2 linked regions of the Oreochromis niloticus genome follow. The protein of the gene in region 1 purifies or fractionates together with the protein of each later gene. This does not show direct contact. Links are inferred from orthologs where the notes say so. Each region holds a gene or a part of one and is shown on either strand. Other genes may lie near its edges.

Region 1 (9,982 bases):
CTACTGAGATCACCCACAAAGACAGACAGGCCAAACTTTGATGGAGAAATAAAATACAAGTGATAATAAAGTCCAGTATTTTGACATATTGTTACATCTCTGTCATTTCTTTGCAATTAAATCATCAAAACAGTGGCTGGTAAAAGGATTTCTGTGCCAAACAATGCGACAGAAACATAGTGGAATATGTTGCAGTCAGAGTGAATTAACACTTTCAGTGAAAACACTAAAGTGCCAAAAAGAGAAGACGTCAGAACCAGGTGAGAATAAACACAAACTTTAAAACCACAGTTCAGTCGTACTTCAGTTTTTCTTTAGAACAGAGAAATGACACGCGGCCAAAAGCTAAACTCTTATTTTTCTGATGCACTTCCAGTTCACCTGCTGCCTGACTGACCTTTAAACATTACAGCTTTCACCACAGCAGCAGAGCTTAAACAGCTCCCGTGGATGTGATGGTACAAGAAGATGTGATTACTCGATATTGCTGATGTTTGCACTGCGGTTTGCAGTCTCAGTTACAGAATTAACCTCCAATTAGCAGATTACTGGTGATAAAGAATTAAAGCCCTTTACACATCACGTTCTGTTGCACTGGTCCTGTGTGACTCTGGTTATTAGCTCAGATTAATGTTTCTTTATTGTCTTTGTAAAGTTACAACAACCTGTGAGTGGATGTGAACAAGAACAAAGTCTCCAGTGTTCAACAAACTAAAACTATAAATGTTAGACAAAGATGAGAGAAGGGCTCATTATGTTTCCTGCTTCTCAGGATACAGCTATATACAAAAATGTGAAAAATGTCTTCCTTCAACAATGACAAAATAAGGAACAATTGAAATGACATAACTGAAAAATGTTTACACAAGAAATTCACTGAGGTAACAATTATCACCAAACAACAGCTTACCTGAGCTTTCTTACTCTTACTCAAGGCCTGAAGAGAAGAAAAGCAGAAAAACATTTAATATAAATCAGCAGCATGAATAATAAAAAAAACTGAAGACAAGCTGTATTAGAAAATAAACCTCCAAATTCAGGTCAGCAGGTTAATTTTTTCCAATCACTCCTCTACAAAAACACTCCACAGTAATAAAGTGTTCGTTACCTTCTGTGCTTTGATAAAATCTCTTTCCAAAACCACATTCTTCTGACGGACGGCATTCAGCTCTGAAATGCACCAGGACGACATTTAATTATAGAAAGCACGCGTTTCCTCTTCAATAAAGTTTTACTGCTAACATGGGCCGATCAAATATTTATGCGATGAATAATTTCATGTACGTTAGTTGAAGTGGAGCCTGTACATTGACTGCATTTAAAGCCTGCTTGTATCCATGAATGTCAGGGTTGCGGGTAGATTCCCTCCTGTGTTTCCTCCTATATTTTGCATTTTCATAGACCATCTCATGTTCTGTTATTTTACTCTAGTGAAGGACCCTGCTTGCTTTCATGCTGTCTATGCTGTGATATGTACACACTTATCTGTGTGCAATTTATTCTGTGTGAATATGTACATTTTAAAAAGTGGGACAAATAAAAAATATCATTACTACTATTATTGGGCCATTGCACTTAAAATACTTCCTGCCTGAGCCTCTCCAAATCAGCTGTTTTATTTTTTAAATAATTATAATATATTTAACAAAGCAACGGAAATTTTTACCTTCATACCATGAATGAATGAATGAATAAATGATTTTGACCCAAAGGAATTGTGGCTAGAAAGAAGACCTTTTATATGCTGTAATTTTTTTTGTCCAGCCATGTAAATGTGTTTTTTAGCTCTAAAATTTTTCATGTGCTGGGAAAATAAGGCCAGAAATTTTTGACCCAAATCTCTGGGTTCTTGAGGGCCTGTTAGTCACGCCACTGATTCATTTTACACAGGACGGCTCTAAGTTAACTACACCAAAATCCTCCTCCGGCCTTACAGTGTTTCCAACTACACATGTTTATTTTATGACTTTTTAAAATCCAGCTAATCCCTGCCCTTTCAAACAAACAAAGATTCATCTATGCAGTCCTGTTTTCCTGGAATAATATGCAGACGGATCTGAAACGGCCGTAAACCGCCCCACAGTTAACAGTTCGCATCAGTCACTTGTAAAACCTGAGACAAAAGCTTCTTGGACAGTGTGTTTTCTCTAAAACTTGCAACAAAATGAGTTTGAAGCAGTTTTGACCTTGATCTTTTATTTTATATTTCATATAATCTCAATGTTGTGTTCTCTCTCATGCACTGTGTGACATTTGCACTTGTCCTCTAATGTCTCTTATAATGTCTGCTGCCCCGTTGGCAAGGTCACTCTTTTAACTTCAGTAAAACCTTCACCCGGACAAAAACTGCCCAGGTGAAGCAGGAAAACTGGTTTTAGGCTAAGGGTCTTCTAATCTGTGTGAATGTGTGTGTGAATGGGTGGATGACTGGATATGTAAAGCGCTTTGGGGTCCTTAGGGACCAGTAAAGCGCTATATAAATACAGGCCATTTACCATTTACCATAATCTGTGTTTTTAAAGATTCTGTTGCTTTAAAGAGCCTCTTGTGTGCTTGTGGTAATTTCAAGTGTTGATGAGATGAAACAGCAGGAACTAGAAGGACAAAGAGTGAAAGGTTTTACCTGCCGTGTTCTTCCTGAGATCATCAGACAGCTGGTAGTTCTGAGTCCGCAGCTCCAACAGCTGGGCCTGCACAAGCACGCGCACACACACACACACACGCACACACACACACACACACACACACACACCAGTATTAATTTATGACCAGCTTTACTTAGAAACTGCATGAACCATGTTGTGTTTTTGATTGGCCAGTAGGTATTTGCATCCCTTTTCAAAGGTCAACTGATGATGAGCTTATTTATCTTTTAACATGTAAATAAACTGATTACTGTGCTCCGCACTGTAACAAGCAGCAGCGTGGTGACCAGAGATCACTGAATGTCAGCAAGAGGCAAAATAACCGCTGGTTTATGCACAGGTGGTCCCACCCATCCTCAAAGAGTTAAAAACCTGGGACTCCATATCAGGTTTTAGAGCTGAAGATGCCCCTGAGATGAGAGATGAAATGTCTTCATGAACCAAGAAGTCGTCCAGCTGCCTTCAACTGAAACACTTAACACAAGCATAGTCGGATCCATCCCAGATATCCAGTTTCAAGAGGGCGACAAGAATACCCTGATCTTGAAGCTTTGTAGCAGGACTTCACAAACCAACGGGTGACATCACGGCAGCTACACCCACCCAAAATGCTGTTTATGCTCATTACAGAGCACTCTACTCTCTTGCCTAAATACACTCACTGCTGACACCAAAAAACACAACACTGGCCGTTCAAATGTAAAGTCCAAAACCAGCTGCTGACACTAGTGGCTACCTCCATCTTTTAGAAAGATCTTTCTTCCTAAATATTTCATAAACAGCATGATGTCCTGTAGGGACCCACCTTACTGGCCCAGAGGAGCCTTACAGCTGCATTTAAAGAGCCCTGCACACATGTTTATGTTTTAAGTACACCTTTCTATTCCTAACTGCATTTATTACAGAATAAAATAATGCGTTTACTACAGTATAATAGCTGTATTAACGGCTTTTTTGTGGTAAATATATTTGAACTCTTCCCTACTGCTGTTTACCATGTCAAGATTCCTGTTCTTACACTTTGTGTAACAACAGAGAACGACTCTATAAGTATATAGTCCTATTAAAGTGGTCAGGGAGGTCAGTGGTTAGTATGTTAACAGGTGTTTGAGCCTCCCGGCCCTGTCTCCGACACAGAGGAGCCCACGGGAGCCTGCCTCGGACCCCGTGACTCTCAGCAGGGCGAGAGTCCCTTGAATGCTAACATGTTAGCCCGCTGTCAGATAGAAATAACGGTTAGCATCAAAAATGCTACGCTGTGCTTTTCTTTACAGAGGGGGAGGCTAAGCTAGGCTAAGTGTTGAACTGAGCTCTCTCGTTGTGTCTGCTTCCTCCCCTTCTTAAGTGTATCGCCCGGAGGCATGTCAAAGCTCGGGCTGCCCGTTACCTTCCTGCCAACGTTAAATGAATAATGTCAGCCGAGCTAGCCGTTCTAACCGCTCCCACCTAGCAACGGCTCACGATTAGCAGACTGTGCTAACGCCCCTGGCAGTGATGCTGCACCGCACAGGTGTTTTTCACCACACTGACACCTACACGTGTGAGAGCCCAGCGACCCAAAAGAACAATCGCTGTAGTTTTTCTCACCTGCATCCGATGGAACTCCTCCTCGGACAGAGCCTGCGACATAGCCATGTTTACCTTCCCTGCTGCTGCGAGCTAGCAGGCTAAGCTAGCGGAGGAGGAGACGCAGCAGCTGACAGAGAGGAGGAGACAGGATGGAGGTTTCACTCTGACGCAGTTTCTGAGAACCGAGCAGCTGACAGAGAGGAGCCGCCATAACAGAGCGCTCACTCTGATGCTGTTTCCGAGAACTGAGGAGAAACCTCAATCACTACGAACTACATTTACTCAAGACCTGCGAATATTTCGAGGTCAGATTTTATATATAACAAAATATATTTATATTTCCATGTAAATATCATGAGAGATAACGAAATACGATCTTTGTTATAGATTATGTACTTTTGTTTAACAAGGCCAAATGAGTGGTGCCTTTACAAAATAATTCCAATAAATAAATTTAAAAACCTTTCACTCCCGCTTCTCACATGTGAGGACTTGCTGTTCTTTTCTTAAGGCTGTTGTTTGAATACTCAGCAAAACAAGCACTGCTAAGGTGTCATTTTAGGTTCTGGACAGCTGAAATCAATGTGCAATGGTGAGCCAGGGTCATTTTCATTACTGAATAAATGAATAAAGAAAATATCAGATCCAGAGTAATGGGAATTAGTTGTGTATGTGGCTCTGAGCCACTGGCTCATAATATATTCATGTTTAATTATGTTAATATGGATCAAAATTGTTGAGGAGTGTTCCCAGCACTCACTGAAGAAGGGAAAAGGTAGTCCAACCTTGTTCTTGTAAGGTGTCTGAGTGTATTTGGTGGCTTTTGCTACTATTGTTTTTAGGTGGGGCTGTAGCTCAGGAGGTAGCACAGGCCATAAAGGTTGGTGGTTTGAGCCCTGGCATACAAAACATCCTTGTTAGATAGAAAGCACTTAAGGACAGGAAAAGAAAAATGCTTATATGAGTGGGTGTGAATGAGGTGTGTTCAGGTAGAACAGAAAAGAGCTACACAAGATTGCCTCCAGTTTATGTGAGAGTGGTTATTCAACTTTTGAACTACATAAGTTAGATCTCTATCTAGTTACCTTTCTACGCCTGCTCGGCAAAAAGCAGAATTAATCACGTGTCCATCACAGTTCAGTGTTTTTAAACACGTGCCTATATCTTTCAGCTTCAGACAAGGCAGTGGTTTTAAATTCCACCTCTGTCAACACTTCTCTATCAAGAAAATCTATCTCTGCACACTGTCTGGTGAACACACAGGTGAAACAGGTTGCCTGACTGCATACATGGTATGCAGCCTGTGCCAGATTACTCACTAGCTGTGTGCTTCAGGAAGGAAATATATTTCTGTAACACACCAACGCTTTAAAATTCAGTGAAGTAACCAGTTGTAAAGTTTTTGTGATTTCTTTCAAACTGTGCACATACTTCCTTGTTCTCCAGTTCGGATAGAGAGAGAGCGAGAGAGAGGCTCAATTAGCTGGTGTTAAATTATTAACTGACAGACAGAGGCAGAACTGAGACACAGAGGGAAAGAGAGAACTAAGAGGTAGAGGTAGCGCGCGCGACAGAGAGAGAGAGAGAGAGAGAGAGAGAGAGAGAGGCTTATTTCAATTTCAGTTTTGGCTGATCAGCCTACAGCCAGGAGAGTAGAGTCAGTGAGGCGCACGAGCTCGGCTCAGGTGTTGGATGTTACTTGACTCGAGATGGAGCTGCTGCCCTCGCTGCTGTCCAGACTGAAGACAGTCGATCCCAGGACTGTGGATCAGGAGTACAGTGTGAGTGTTTGTTTTCATTCCTCAGTTTATGGAAAAGCCAGTTTGAGAGCTTTCACATCCTCGAGAATCTGGTCCAACGAAATAAAAGTGCAGTAATAATGCACTGTCAAGTTCAGATGACAATTGAGAACAGCTTGAGTAACTCTGAGGTTGAGCTTGAGGTTAGTTTTTCTCCTATACGTCACATTTTTACACAATGCACAAACTTCTGTATGTTGTGGACCTTTAACTTCGCTGCTTTTCATCTCTGTCAACGACTTCTTTTATGTGCTGCACTTTCCTGGAAATACCTGCCTCTGTTTTCAACTTTGACCCATCTAATCAAATGAGCTGCAGCCAATAATCAGATAAACTCAGTCACGTGAGGCTGGTGTGTGTAAAACATGCAAAGCTAAATAGGTTGAGTCTAACATGCACACCATATTAGGTTGTTTTCAGACTGAGGATACTCTTATTTTCATGAACGCCATCAGCACTGTACCCTGTTTTTAGTATTAAGCATTAACATTAATACATTAAGAGGGTCCTGAATTCTCTAAGAGCTCCAGCTTTTCCTCCACCTATTCAAAAACCTGCTTTATTAATCCTGCCTGTCTTCATTCAACACAAAGATTTGTGATTTCACTTCAGTTAAGTCTCAAAGACTTCAAACCGGATTTTGACAGGTTGTGCGGGTGTTCCTCAGGGGTCCAATCTCAGTCCATTTCTCTTCAAATTTTATTTTTAGAATAAACACCTGCAGTCCAGACCAGACAGAAACCAACTGTGCCATCAATTCTGCTTTTACAAACCTCACACGGGTCCAATAGTCCTCTTCATTGTCAGAAAGGTTATGACTCGGTCCGTCTTACGTCACACTCCTCTGTGTCACACTTTCAATTACACGGTACTCTTCAGCATGCCATTTAAAATGCAAAGGGTTAAGACGGTGAACATGCTTATCTGAACCCAAAATAAGACCTTTTTCTAATCTGAACCGAGTAACACTGGTGCCTTACCCTGACCAAACAGTAAGTGAAAACAAAAATGACGTTTCTTTTTAATTTTAGTATTTTATTAAGTTTATGTTTAGCCTCAGAGGTGAAACTCAGGCCAGTAAAATACTAAAAATAATTTCCAGTGGATCACAAAAGCCACAGCAACTGTGAGTTATCGGAACATGACAAAGAGACGAGACTCACTTCTGTAGGCGTTTCCAGGTTGACATCTTACCATGATCATACCAACAGACACACTTATGGTAACAGTACCAGCAAGGGTGTGATGGTCCAAACTCTCGTTTGATGTGCCAGATAGACACTGACAGAATATCGACTCATCCTCCTGAAAAAGCTGCAGGAACTAGATTTATATGCAGATGGCCAGTTTGCATATGATTGCAATCAGTCAAATTAGGTATTTTTCAGTGTCCTGGTCCTGCGTCTCTGACCCAGTATTCTGTGCTTGTTTTAGGCTTATTACTCATTTCTTTAGAATTAAGAGGTTTTCATGTTCTAGTTTTGTATTAGTTCTCTGTATGTGTCTCCAGCTTAACATTTCCTAGGGCCTTGTAGGTTTGTTATTGATCTTTCTAGTTCTTGGTTCTTGTTTTTTTTATGCAAGTTCCCTTTTGTTCCTTAATCTCTCCCAGTCTCGTCTGCGCCTTGTCATCGGCGTCTCCTGTGGAAGGCACTCCTGTTTCTGTGTTGTTACCCCCTCTCTCTCCCCGGTCATGTCCCCATGTCCGTCTGGTCTCCCAGAGTTCTGTCTCCATCGTTGTCTGGTTTCCCTGTTTGTTCCATCAAGTTTGTATAGCCTCTTTTCCATCACTACCTACTTGGATCAACTCGCCAGGGCGAGCTGGATTGACCAGTTTTCCATTACAATCGAGTGCCACGTAATGTGTGTGGTCATTGTCACAGTAATGCAGCCGAGGGTCCTGTGATTGAATTAGTATGGAACACGAACAGTACAACAAAGGTGGATGTCAAGGTGTGGATATACCTGCTGGTCAGTCTTTGGCTTTTCGTCAGACTCGGGGATCAAGGTGTTGTTTTTTGGGGGGGTTGTGGTAAATTCCCTCGTTTGTGGCTTTCAAAAATTTGAACTTGTCTTCCATCTGCATCTTCTAGGTCCACTTTGTGCTCTGTTCATGAATGAACCTGACCCCACTGCACAGTGTCCTTTATCCTGCTGTCTTTCCTAAGTGGCTGCTTGGATAAGAGACTCTTTAAAAACTTTGTGTAATGCCAGCTTCAAAGTCACATAAAATTTATGTCCAGAAACAAATCCAGCGTAATTATAAATTTAAATATCAGGTAACTGATCATTTTCTATTTTACTGTTGAATCAAACAAGGAAGCCTGCTTTTGCTAAAACAAACTGTTGACATTATCCAACCATCTATCATCTTATTTCTCTGTGAAAATCAAACTACATCCTTATTTTATAACATAAAACAAGAAGGAAATGCATTTTATTTGAGAGAACTGGCTAATTTATTTTACACCAGCAGGACGTACAATAACTCGGACTATAAATGCTTTAATGCTGTGGTCAGTCTGAAAGTCATGTATGTCGAGTGAGCACTGATCTTAAACTGCTCTAACTGTTTTACATTATTTAACATGTCAAAGCCAACCGTCCCGCTGTGGTGGAACAGCAGACGAGTGTCTGAAATATCAATGCTGAGAGATTTCCACCTTTGCTTTGTCTACAGCGCAGCGCGGTATTCGCTAATTAAGATGAGATGTTCTAGACTTCAAACTGATGCTGTCCTCTACTCTCAGGCTCAGTGATCAGAGGAACATCCAAACAATCCTCCCATATTCAGGACGGTGTTGTCCTCTAAACATGTGTTATTTATCGCCATATATTTAGGTACACATTACAACTCTTAGTCGAAACAATGATCATGGTGACATCGTGTAGCTGTTGCTGCTGAGCTGCAAGGAAACTGCAGCTTTCTGCTAATTTTCTTTAACTGTATTGAAACTTTTTTTAACGTTAGATTAATCAGTGTGAGGCGTATTTCATACTCCAATATTTAAAATGGTCACCCTGCTATTGTTTTCCTGTATCCTAATATCAGAGTACAATTCACACCTTTAGGTCCTTTTTTCTGCTACTTATTTAATCGGTGTGTGGCTGAGTCACATGGCCTGATTGGGCATTACATCCTGCGTGACTGGATCGAGTGAATAGTGATGTAAATTCACATGGTGCTGCTAAATTAATTATTTTGGGGCACGAAACGTATTTGTGTTCAGGGTAAGAAGCCTGTCACTTTGCTACTTCTGCTCTGCTCACATTTTTCTGAGATGAAATGAATTTAAACTCACAGTGAGGTTAGAAATGAGCAGAAACAACCTGCAGAGTTACTAAAAGCAGAGTTTAGTGTCAACATTACACTGAAACCATTCACCACAAAACACATACACACAAACAGCTGTGTTTTCATGACTTCAGGGGCCATGACACTAACTGATGTTCATTTCCTGGACAGCGAACCTTGGACTACAATAAAAATCCATCACGCTGTGGAATTTTATTCAAACCAAACATGTGAAAATGAAAACTTAAATTAAGTTTAGGTGTTTTCCTTTTTTTCTGCCTTTGAATTACTTCATCACTTATATAAAGTTACAATCTAAACATGGTTCAAATTTATTTTGTCTTCCTTCTATTTCAGAACTTGGTTTCATTTTTAGGCCAATATTCTTAAAATATCCAACATGAGCCAAGACTTATTTTCTGACATACATTTAGCTTAACCCACAGGCCTAGCTTTCTGTTTTTGTAGCTTTCGTAGGTAAAGCTGGTTAAAGCTGTTATTTGTTTCGAAATAGTGTGGTTTTATTTCAGATAATGAAATTTAATGATGCTATTTTAGTCTTTCATGTAACTAAATGACAGCAGCAGAAAACATGAAGCTACAATTTACACACTCTATACAGACTACCACAATCTTTTTACGAAGAAAAAAACAGTGTTTTTCATGTAATATAG
Region 2 (10,051 bases), on another chromosome or scaffold:
TGGGGGGAATTCAGTTTAAAATGAGGTAGCAGCAAAGCAGAGCTGTATAATGTTAAAAATATAAATACAGCTAGTTCTTAGACATGAAAATAAATTGTTATAAGACAGATTTGAAGGCGGAAAGAATGCCAGCAGGAGGAATTTAAAAAAAAATGTCTGTAGTGAAGAACAGCCAAAGATCCATTACTCTTTGACTTAAACCTGGGCTGGATTGTGGAACAGCTGGAAGACAGCTGCATGCTGATGTACTCCAACACCTGTAAAGCCTTGTGAGCCATAACTACATGTTTGAAATCCAAAAGATTTTTAAACGCCTAATGTTTCCAGATTACTTTGGTTTGCAGCACTTGGTAAGCAGATAATCATGTCCAATTTGTTTTGTTTTTTCCCCTAAATCTTAGATCAGAACAGGTTCCTAGAGAGACACGTGATTGCTGCCTAACATTGAAATAAGATACTTGGTGTTACACTCGTTGTTTTCATGCCTCCTACCACAATTCAGAATCATGTCTGCTGTGGGCACAATAGCTGTGGATGTGAAGTTAGAAACCCTTTTCAATCTAGTCATAGGTTTGCTTGAGGTCAGCTGCTCTTATTAGACAGAACCTGACACCAGTTGTCTCGGATAACTAAAAACACAGCGCTTATACTATTTAATAACAAACCCAGCATCAGGAATCCTTCTAATTCAGTTTTAACCATTTTCTGATCATAGAAAATGCGCATTGTTTATATTCTTAACTACATTCACAAACCGCTTTCTGTCATACCCACGATACAAACAGATACTACACATGACCAAGTAATACAATTACTGCATGTATATCTTTTTATTAACTATTCATGACACACTTCCACTTATGCTGACATTTTTTTAAAATGCATTTTAAGTAGATTCACAGAATTTATAGATTCACAAGTGTCATTTCCTTTAGTCAGTTAATCTAAATGTTACAGCTTAACCTTTAACAGAGCTAACATGCATGAATGTCCACAGATAGTATACGGTATATATACATGTGACAATCAGCATCTTTAGCAGGTATCATCCATTCTGAAGCTCCTCTTCGGCCCAATTCGTCACCGATCTGTATCAGGCGGATCAACAGCATCCCACAAGTTTTCCTCTGGAGAGCTCCTGTCTTCCTTTGAGTCCACTGCCAGTCCAAATCCAGCGACTCCAGCAAGATGTGTCCACAAACATATGTACATCCCACTTACGGCTACCATATTGCCACCAGTTATGAATCTATATATGAGACTCCTCTTTAATGTTAGGCTCACGGCCAGTCAGATTTATAGTACACGCTTCCTCTTGATGAGCTCTCACATCATGTCTCACTTGACATTAGCGACAGTCTTGTAGTGCTTGATAAGTATTTCCAGCAGTTTGTATTTCCAGTAGAGTTCATCGCCGGCTTGACGAAGCTCGCGTGCGCAGAGTTCAACAGCGGCAGCAGCACCCACGGGTCTATCTGAGGGAAGAAGACATCGGTTAGATCATATCAGTCGATTACTCGCAATCTGTTAGTAAAATATCGGGCTTAACTAAAACTTCCTCAATCAGATCTGTTTATATATTCACCTTTGCTGGCCATTTTCTCAAAGATAATAGTCCGAAAACAAGAAGGATCGTCTTGCTTCTTACAAAACAGTGTTGAGACTTGATGTTAAGAAACAGGTTTGAGCTATTGATAGCACAGACCGGCTTTTAAACATGTTACATACGTCAGCCACATACTCAAAAAGAAATCCCCTGTTGGTCACGAGTCAACTTCCTCCTCCTCCTACTTTGTTTACGAGCGTCTAATCAGTAGTGTTAAAGGTTAAAATGGTTAAAACTTAGTATGTTTTCACTTTGCTAAAGATATATATCCTACACTATACTTTATTTCGAAAGTCACATTTAAGAATAACACGGACAATAGAAATTGACACGTACATATGTTTTTTAAAAAAGTTAGAAGTCTTAGAATGAGCTCATAACCAAATCAAAGAGAAAGCAAAACAATATGTGAACCAGTTCCACCGAAGCAACATTTCATCAGACCAGTTTGTTAACTGAAAAAAGCTCACAAACCAACCATAAAGAAAACAGTACAGAGTGAATGTACGGCAACAGTTCACAGCCACATTTTGTTTCCTGGCCGATAAGATTAGATATTTAGAAACACTGTTCACTGTTCACCATGTACAGGACAGATATCATTGGACGTATTATATAAACACAAACACAGAATATTTAAAACAACAAGCTGGAGAAAATGTTTCTTTACACCAAAACCTTGCATTAACCGGTGTCACGCAAGTTTCCGTGACTGAATTAATGCAAAAACAAACAAGGCCAACACCACTCTAATCACGTTACACACACTGGGCACGTGACCTGTTTACGCTAAAGGGTGATGAAAAACTTTGTGACGTGGAAGTCAAAGATATGTGCATTGCGCTTCTTCCTTAAAAGTGCATTATTTGCATTGTGCTTAGTACAAGCGCCATGAACTTGTTTTGGTATGCCTTCTCCTTTCGTACGAAATGGGAAGTACCTGTAAAATATACCGCTGTTTAAAATCAGGTGATACGACGGCTTAGAGAGTTGCAGTATTATTTCTTTATTTAAGGAAAAAGTATTTGCTTTTGAGAACTGAGTTAAAGTCCAAACTTTAGGATTAAGAAATCTAGATTATTGAAAGTACCACAATATAAATGTTTAATGTATGTGGCATCATGGGTCTGTTAATACCTATGCCACAATGTTTACTGTTATAGCTAGTCGGTCTGGTTTTAATATACATTCAACACCTCTTTATTAAACCTGTTCAGCTGCTCATCAATATCTCATCCAACCAATCACATGGCAGCACTCATTGCATTTACCATGCAGACAAGGTCAAGACTACCTGTGAAAGGTCAAAGCGAGTATCAGAATAAGGAAGAAAGTTAAAGTGACTTTAAAAGTCACGTGGTTGCTGGTGCCAGATGAGCTGGCCTGGAAGTTTCAAAGACTGCTGATCTATTTGAATTTCCCCACGCGTCACCATCTCTAGAGTTTTAGTAAGAGAAAGAGAAAATATCCACTCAGCTTAAAGCAAAAGAGGAAATTCCGGCCTCAACTCCCAGTGGCTTTTCATGGTTAGACAACAGAATATTCGAAAAGTGTTGCCTGGCCTGAGTCTTGATGACCAGAGTGTACCAATCTTTTAATCCTGCTTCCAGCCTCTATGCCACAAATAATTAATAAAGCCATACTGAAGGCTGAAGCTGGCCCAACCCTGTACTAACAGGGTGTAAACTAGTCAGCAGTTTAGCCTAGTGGCTGCTAAACACATGATGGGCCTCCTTTAAAGGGCCATGTAATTAAGAGCGAATTTAGATTGAGAGCAAATTTCAAATTACATTTCTGCATTTTTTTTTTTAAAAAAAAAACATATAGAAAGTGAAAAATTATGTACGATATATTTATGATCCCCTCATCTTGCCTGGTATCTGTCAGGGTACCTGGGTGTTGGACCCAACTTTTGTCATTGATTAGTTTCCCATGTATGTTTCCTGGTTAGTGTGATAGTCTTTTGTCTCGTCTGCATTATGTCTAGTTCTACTTCCCCTGTGACATTAGTTAGATTTATTCCAGCTGTGATCCCACCTGTTTCCTGTCCGTTATCCTGTCTGTTTAAGCCCTCGTTTCCTTGTCTCGTTGTCCTCAACTCCTCGTGTGTGTTTCCAATGTAGTTAAGTCATTCATGTTCAGTTCAGTCTCTGTAATAAATCCCTACTCCATTCCAAACCAGCCAGAGAGTCCTGCATTTGGGTCCTCTCTCTCTTCTCCACACACCTGAATGTGACAGTATCCACTTAGCAACAGGCTGAACAGATCCTGTCATTTTCCTTTCATAACAATAACACGAAACAGGCATTTATTAGTATACTAAATATGTATACAGTGGTATAATTCTATGTATATTTTTATGTCTCTCTATATATAGTACTTGTATGGCAATAAAACAATTTTAAAGGTTAGTGGGAAAATGTCTTTATATTTTAATTACTGTACTACTACTATTATTGTACTACAGTAAACGTACTTAAATGGGGCAAATCTAAGTGGCACCACTGCACATTTCACACAGCTGCTAGTTGTCCACAGAGCTCAGTGGTCACATGGTTACAGCAGGTGTGTCATTGCTGCTGATAACAGCATTGTAAAATGCATTGGCCTCTGAGGTTTTCTTTTATTGCCAGGTCCTTAAGGTACAAGTATATGTTTTGAATGTAAATCAACAGGCTTATCATGGTTTCTCTCTTGTGCAGTCTTGTGACCTTTTTTATGAAAGTTTGTGTTGTTTTGCAACGTCTCTGAGAGGAAATCACCCCATTAATCTTCCACTTCATGGTTGGGGTTTGTGTGAGTGACATTGCTTTGGTGGAAATAAATAAATAAATTGGAAAACACACTGACTTTTTTGGGGGGCTTTCAGGGGTAGGTTTGAAGTCGGTGCTTGTGTTATTTGTGATGGGAGCAGGTAGCTTGTGTGAACAAAAAAAAGTTGACAGGCTTTGACCTTTGTTTGTGTAAATAGTGACAAATGAAGAGTACACAGATGTGACATTAATAGTCAAGCTGTTCGTTAAATAAGCCGTTCATTCCATCTGGGTTGAAGTGAATTCAGATCATTTAATGTAAAAATTCTTAGGAAATGTAACTTTACCTAAAGGTATGCATATATTTATATGTAAATATTAAACACTTGTTCCCTATTATATATTATAAATTAGCAATAATATTATAACTGTCGTATTCATGTGGTTAAAGTGGAAAAAATTTTAAATTAAGAATTAAATTTTGATTTATTAGATTATTATTAAAATTTATTTTATTTGTATGGTCAATTTGTGAGACAGCAAAAACATGTAAATGGATTCTCTGTAAAGCTAAGGTCAGCTGGGTTTAAACTTACCCTGAGTTAAGTTTAACCTGTGTAGGACCCTAACCCACAGCAGCCCATGCCTGATTTTTAATGTGTTACAGGGCTCAAATCAAAAATCTGTGTGACACTGGTACTACTGGTGCTTATGGAATGCTGTTCCATAAGCACCCACACTGGAAATTCCTTTGCTGGTAAATCAGAACATCCAAAACATCAATTTATATTGGAATAATATAGAAACTTGAGTGAAGATACACCCCCTCCTTTTTTGTCTGTCTAATTACTTCCTGTCCGAGATCAACATGCTAGACATGCACATTAATACTTGTATGAATAAGTGACACAAATACTCAAACTATACTGACTGGCGTGTGATGGGGAAATTCTGAAGTGGCATGTTTTAAAATTTATGAGAAATAGGACATCATAGCTTGTTTTGAGTGTTCATGTTTGTTCTTTTGTATAATTCATCTATTTGTATGCTGTCTACTCGTTGTTTGTTCAGTAAAGTTCATTTATTTAAAAATAAAAAGTAACTGCAGCTGTGTAAAAGCGAAATGTTGCCCTCTGCTGTCGGGGACCTGAAGTACAACGTAGTTTAAAAAGAAAATGATAAACGAGAGTTGTGTGTCACTACAGTTAATATAATTACATATGACCGCTGCACCCTTACAACCTTTGAAAAGTAAAACTAAAGCCAACTCAGGTAACTGATTAACTTATTAACTGATATTAATTAATAACACATGTAGAATGATAAGAATTCTTGTGCCTTTAATGTGCACAAGAATCAAGACAGAATAAAGCCCAGCTACAAAAACCACGACACAGATAAAACCAATGAAATAAAATCCAAACATAAATATGAATCCTATCTGGTTTCTAGTTATTTAGGAGTTACACAGTGTAATAGCCACCGATAGAAAGGATCGAAAGGGATAGTTCAGTCCTGCACCTTGGGACAATGATGGATTGTCCCTGATGCTGAAGAGGTTGTTCATTAACATGGGCTATTTTGAATCTTCAGCAGTGAAAGGCTCAAGGGCAGTTAATCCATTACTGTGCTACTGCTGGTATTACAGCACTGTAAGGTTTTCCTATTTGTCTACACTGTGTTTATTTAACAGCACTATTTACCGATTACGTTACAAATTAGGATTTCATATGTTTTCTTACAGTGTACTACTTTAGTTTTATTTGTTGTTAGGGATCAACCCCCTCAAATGAACTACTTAAATCATGTTGTATTTTCTTCTTCTTGTTGTTCTTCTCAACATTATTATTAATATTAATATTATCATTATTATTATTATTATTATTATTATTGTTATTATTATCGGACCAGTTTATACCAACTGTAAACACTGTAAGTACGCCCATTAGCCATCAGATGGCGGCAAAACCAAGCTCAGCGCAAGAATCCGATGAAGTTTTTGGCGCTCCAGTTGTCACGTGACTGCGCTTGCGTCACTTTGACGGGCTTTGCCTGACAGACTCAGCTCTTGCCTGACAGTCGGCACTTTCTCTTACATGATCAGAGAGTGCTTGCGATAAAGCGCCTGTCTGCTGCCTGCTCCGTTTACATGATGAAGAACCTTCATTTTAAGGATTTCTTCTGGGTGAGGTTTTTTCTTGTCTTTTTTGTTTGTTTGTCTTTCTGTGAAGTTGTGATTGGAATTTGAAACATTTTATTTTTTGATTCAGCTTCAGATGGTTTAATAAAAAATTGTATTTTTGTATTGTATTAATTATTAGAAACGGGAATCCTGTTGAGGGATCTAACGTTCGTAAAATAGTATGGAAAGAGGAGCATCAAAACTAAGCTATTAAAAACACTTGATATGAACTGATGGGGAGTTTTTGGTAATGCAGTCATGTGTAACCTGACCAATGTTTTATCAGATCACGTTTCTCTCTCTGCAGTGTAAATAGTAAATGTCATTTCCTTTAGTGGTGTAAAGAGTAAACTGAATAATCCAGCAGATTAGAGTGGAAATACTGAGAGTACCAATAACTTCTACGCAACATAAGCAAATATGTGTAGTTAAATTTCACTGCAGGATTTTTGCATTGTCTAAGTATGGCCTCATATGGTGTATTTTAAACCAATAGAAAGTCTGGCAAGTTGATTATAAGCTGTTGCCCTCACCTTAACTAAATTACAGAGATGCCTAGTCCCAAACATTAATTACACTCAGAGTCAATTATTCTGAAGCTACAGTGCTCGTTTATGTCTGTAGGGATGTTTAAACAAGTTTAGCCAGAGCGTGGCTGTCCTACAGTTAACCTGGGTGTGGGAGTAGAGGTAGCAGAGGTACAGCTCTCTGTTTCTTTTAAGATATGTGCTTTGCTGTAAAACTGTCTGCTGTAATACTGTCTGTGCATCTTGCTGACAGAACTCGGACCTGACCTCCACTATCGGGTATGATGCCATCATTCAGTATCTCAATGATGGCAAGAGGACATGCAAGGAGGTGGAGGATTTCATGAAAGCCAGGTAATGCCGTCATCCTTATATATAATAATGCACAACTGATGGGATGTTTGGCTCTAACCAAAGTCTGGAAAACTGTGTTCAAGCTTTACATTTACAGGCCAGTTGTTGCTATCAATGTAACTGACTGCAAGATAGGTAGATGTAGTGCAGGTTTTGGCTGCAGGCATGCAATTAGGATGAAGAGAGTGAAAAGAAAATAAACTCTAAGAACGACAAGTGTAGTGGAGGAGGACAGCATTTAGAGCATTTTGAGATTAAGGACAGTACTGGAATACAACAAATAAAGTTGCCTAAAAAAGTAAATTTTAGTTGCTATAATCTAAAAAAAAAAATCAGATAAATACATATTTTGATTATTAATTATATAGTCAGTCAAACACAAACACGTCCTACCGTCTTGTAATTTGTGCAAAGCGCACTATCGCAGTTATATGATTAAATACCAGAAAAGTAGTAAAATTCTGCTTTCTAAAAATTCTCTAAGGTTAATTCTGCACACTGTTGATGAGATGAGAGATGATGAGATAGCCTTTATTTGTCAGTTGCAGGTCTTTTGCCCGCAACCGAGATGACAGACCTTGCCGACCGTACATACAATACACAAACATCACATTGGGGAGACAGGTCAGGCTAGGTAGCGAGGAAATAAACATCGAAATGTGTAACACAAAAGGATAATACAGGAATGCACAGATATCAACACACCATAGCACAATAAACACAGACAAGCAACATGGGAAAGTGTTCCAGTGTGTACATCTGATCTGGGACAGCTGCAATCTTTCGACTGCGCCTCCAACTGACCCGATGTCCACATCAGAGGGGAGGTAAGCGTTGGAGGTGGCGTTGGATCCGGGGTAGGGAGGGGTGATGCGTCGGTGGATCACAGTAGAGCAGAAATGAAGTCCCAGTCAAGCAGGAATGATGTGACGCATCAGGTTTTATAATAGAGACGTATAAACTTTCACATCTAATCATTAATTCATCTTCCTCTTATAATAATTAATCTGTCCGTGCTCTCCCACACACACATACGCATACCAAAAAAACAAAAACACTCCACACATATAAAAGTCCAGTGTGTAGTCAGAAACGTGACCTAGTGAGGTTAATGCTATGAAAAAAGGAGGATATTATGCCAAAACATAACTGTACGTTTCCTAATTTGGGACTCACCATTTTTAAACCGCAGTGGTTTTAACAGTAATTGTGGGAAGATTTACCAAAATAAAAGTAGAGTAAGGAAACATGGTCAGAATGAGGTGTTTTGTGGGAAACGGCGGCAACAGTCGAATTCTTTCAGCTTTCGGTTATGCAAAAACAAATTCTTCAGGACACCAAAGAGCAGCCACGACAGCCCGCCGGTGTGGAGGGAGGACTCAGGTCAAACTTAGTGTGAGAACTTCCTGGTTTAGGTTGTTTGAGTCGCATGTTTTATGATTTTTTGTAAATAGTGTTAACTATATCTTGATCTGTGGCTGTGTAATTATATTTGAGTCTGTTAGAGTTGCATTTTATTTTAAGTCTCCTATTAGCATTGATAAGCAAATTAAGCATATTTTAAGCGGTCAGCATTATAGCATGCTCATGCATTTGTATAGTAAAACTGTATTCAGTTGTATATTTATATGTATGTTTTTTTTAATATTTATCATTGTACAATGCATATTAGAATTGATAAATTATTTTCCATTTTCTTCTCCAACGTTGCATCAATGTTCCTGTCAAAACTCTTCAGAGAAAGAACAGACTCCAATTATAACACCACACATGTAAATGTTGTCCTGTCTTTTTTGTATCAGTTAATAATTTAATATGTAAATTTATAACTTCTAAAAAATACTGATAGTGAAGCCTAAGGGATGTATAAATGTAAATTTATGATAAAGCATTACCTTTCAGAGATGTCTAGTATGGGTTTTGCATGTAAATTCATATACAGTCTGTTGGCTGGCAGACTGTTCTGTTTGTTGGCCGAATCTTTGCATGTATGCTTTTACGCTGCCCTCACTCTCAATGGGTTGTTTCTTTCAGGGCATCAGTTGAAGAGAAGTATGCCAAAGAACTCCTTAGTTTGTCCAAGAAGGTGTGTGGACACAGTGAGATGAAGTAAGCGACCTCTGTGTTGATATGCTGTTATTATGTGCTTGGCCTGCTGTATTTACAGGAAGCCTCACCCCATCTAATGCATGAGTGTGTTTCTGCAGTACTGACACAGTACCTTGTAGTCTGGACTCAGGTGTAGTGCAGAAAGTAAGGTCAAAGAAAACAATGAGTCTATTCACCAAAGGTTCTTGTTGTTGTTCTCAGTCTGTTTCACAAGTTGAATTTCGAAATTAAGTTTGAACTTCTGTAAAATTGACGGTTTGGTTATTAATGTTGATGTAGTCAGATTTTATATGACACCGCTACCACGATCTTTTATTAGCAAGCCTAGTTCCTGTTTAATGAATGCTCGCACTAATTATAGAAAGGAACGACTTAGCTACATAATTTACTTTATGAAATCTTAGTGCATTATTGATAGACTCGTCTTTTAAAGATGTCCTATCAAAGGAGTTACTTGAACCGCAGTAAAGGCATTTTTCATCTATGTTTTTAAAGCAACCTTGAGATCAGTTAGAAGGAG

The links.
Region 2: the proteins of ptpn18 (region 1) and pstpip2 purify together in Homo sapiens (affinity purification with mass spectrometry; 4 studies listed by BioGRID and IntAct, with this or other methods). This does not show direct contact. The link is inferred for Oreochromis niloticus from reciprocal best matches to the Homo sapiens genes PTPN18 and PSTPIP2.

Annotation. Positions count from the first base shown.
Region 1 is NC_031984.2:3,703,613-3,713,594, forward strand, and holds the start of ptpn18 (tyrosine-protein phosphatase non-receptor type 18), read left to right. Parts: upstream 1-5,833; 5' UTR 5,834-5,923; coding exon 5,924-5,995; intron 5,996-9,982. Other genes in the region: gripap1 (GRIP1-associated protein 1), read right to left, coding at 911-937, 1,109-1,170, 2,624-2,690, 4,233-4,280. UniProt on the Homo sapiens protein: Differentially dephosphorylate autophosphorylated tyrosine kinases which are known to be overexpressed in tumor tissues.
Region 2 is NC_031972.2:17,157,340-17,167,390, forward strand, and holds the start of pstpip2 (proline-serine-threonine phosphatase-interacting protein 2), read left to right. Parts: upstream 1-6,396; 5' UTR 6,397-6,508; coding exon 6,509-6,544; intron 6,545-7,321; coding exon 7,322-7,422; intron 7,423-9,456; coding exon 9,457-9,531; intron 9,532-10,051. UniProt on the Homo sapiens protein: Binds to F-actin. May be involved in regulation of the actin cytoskeleton.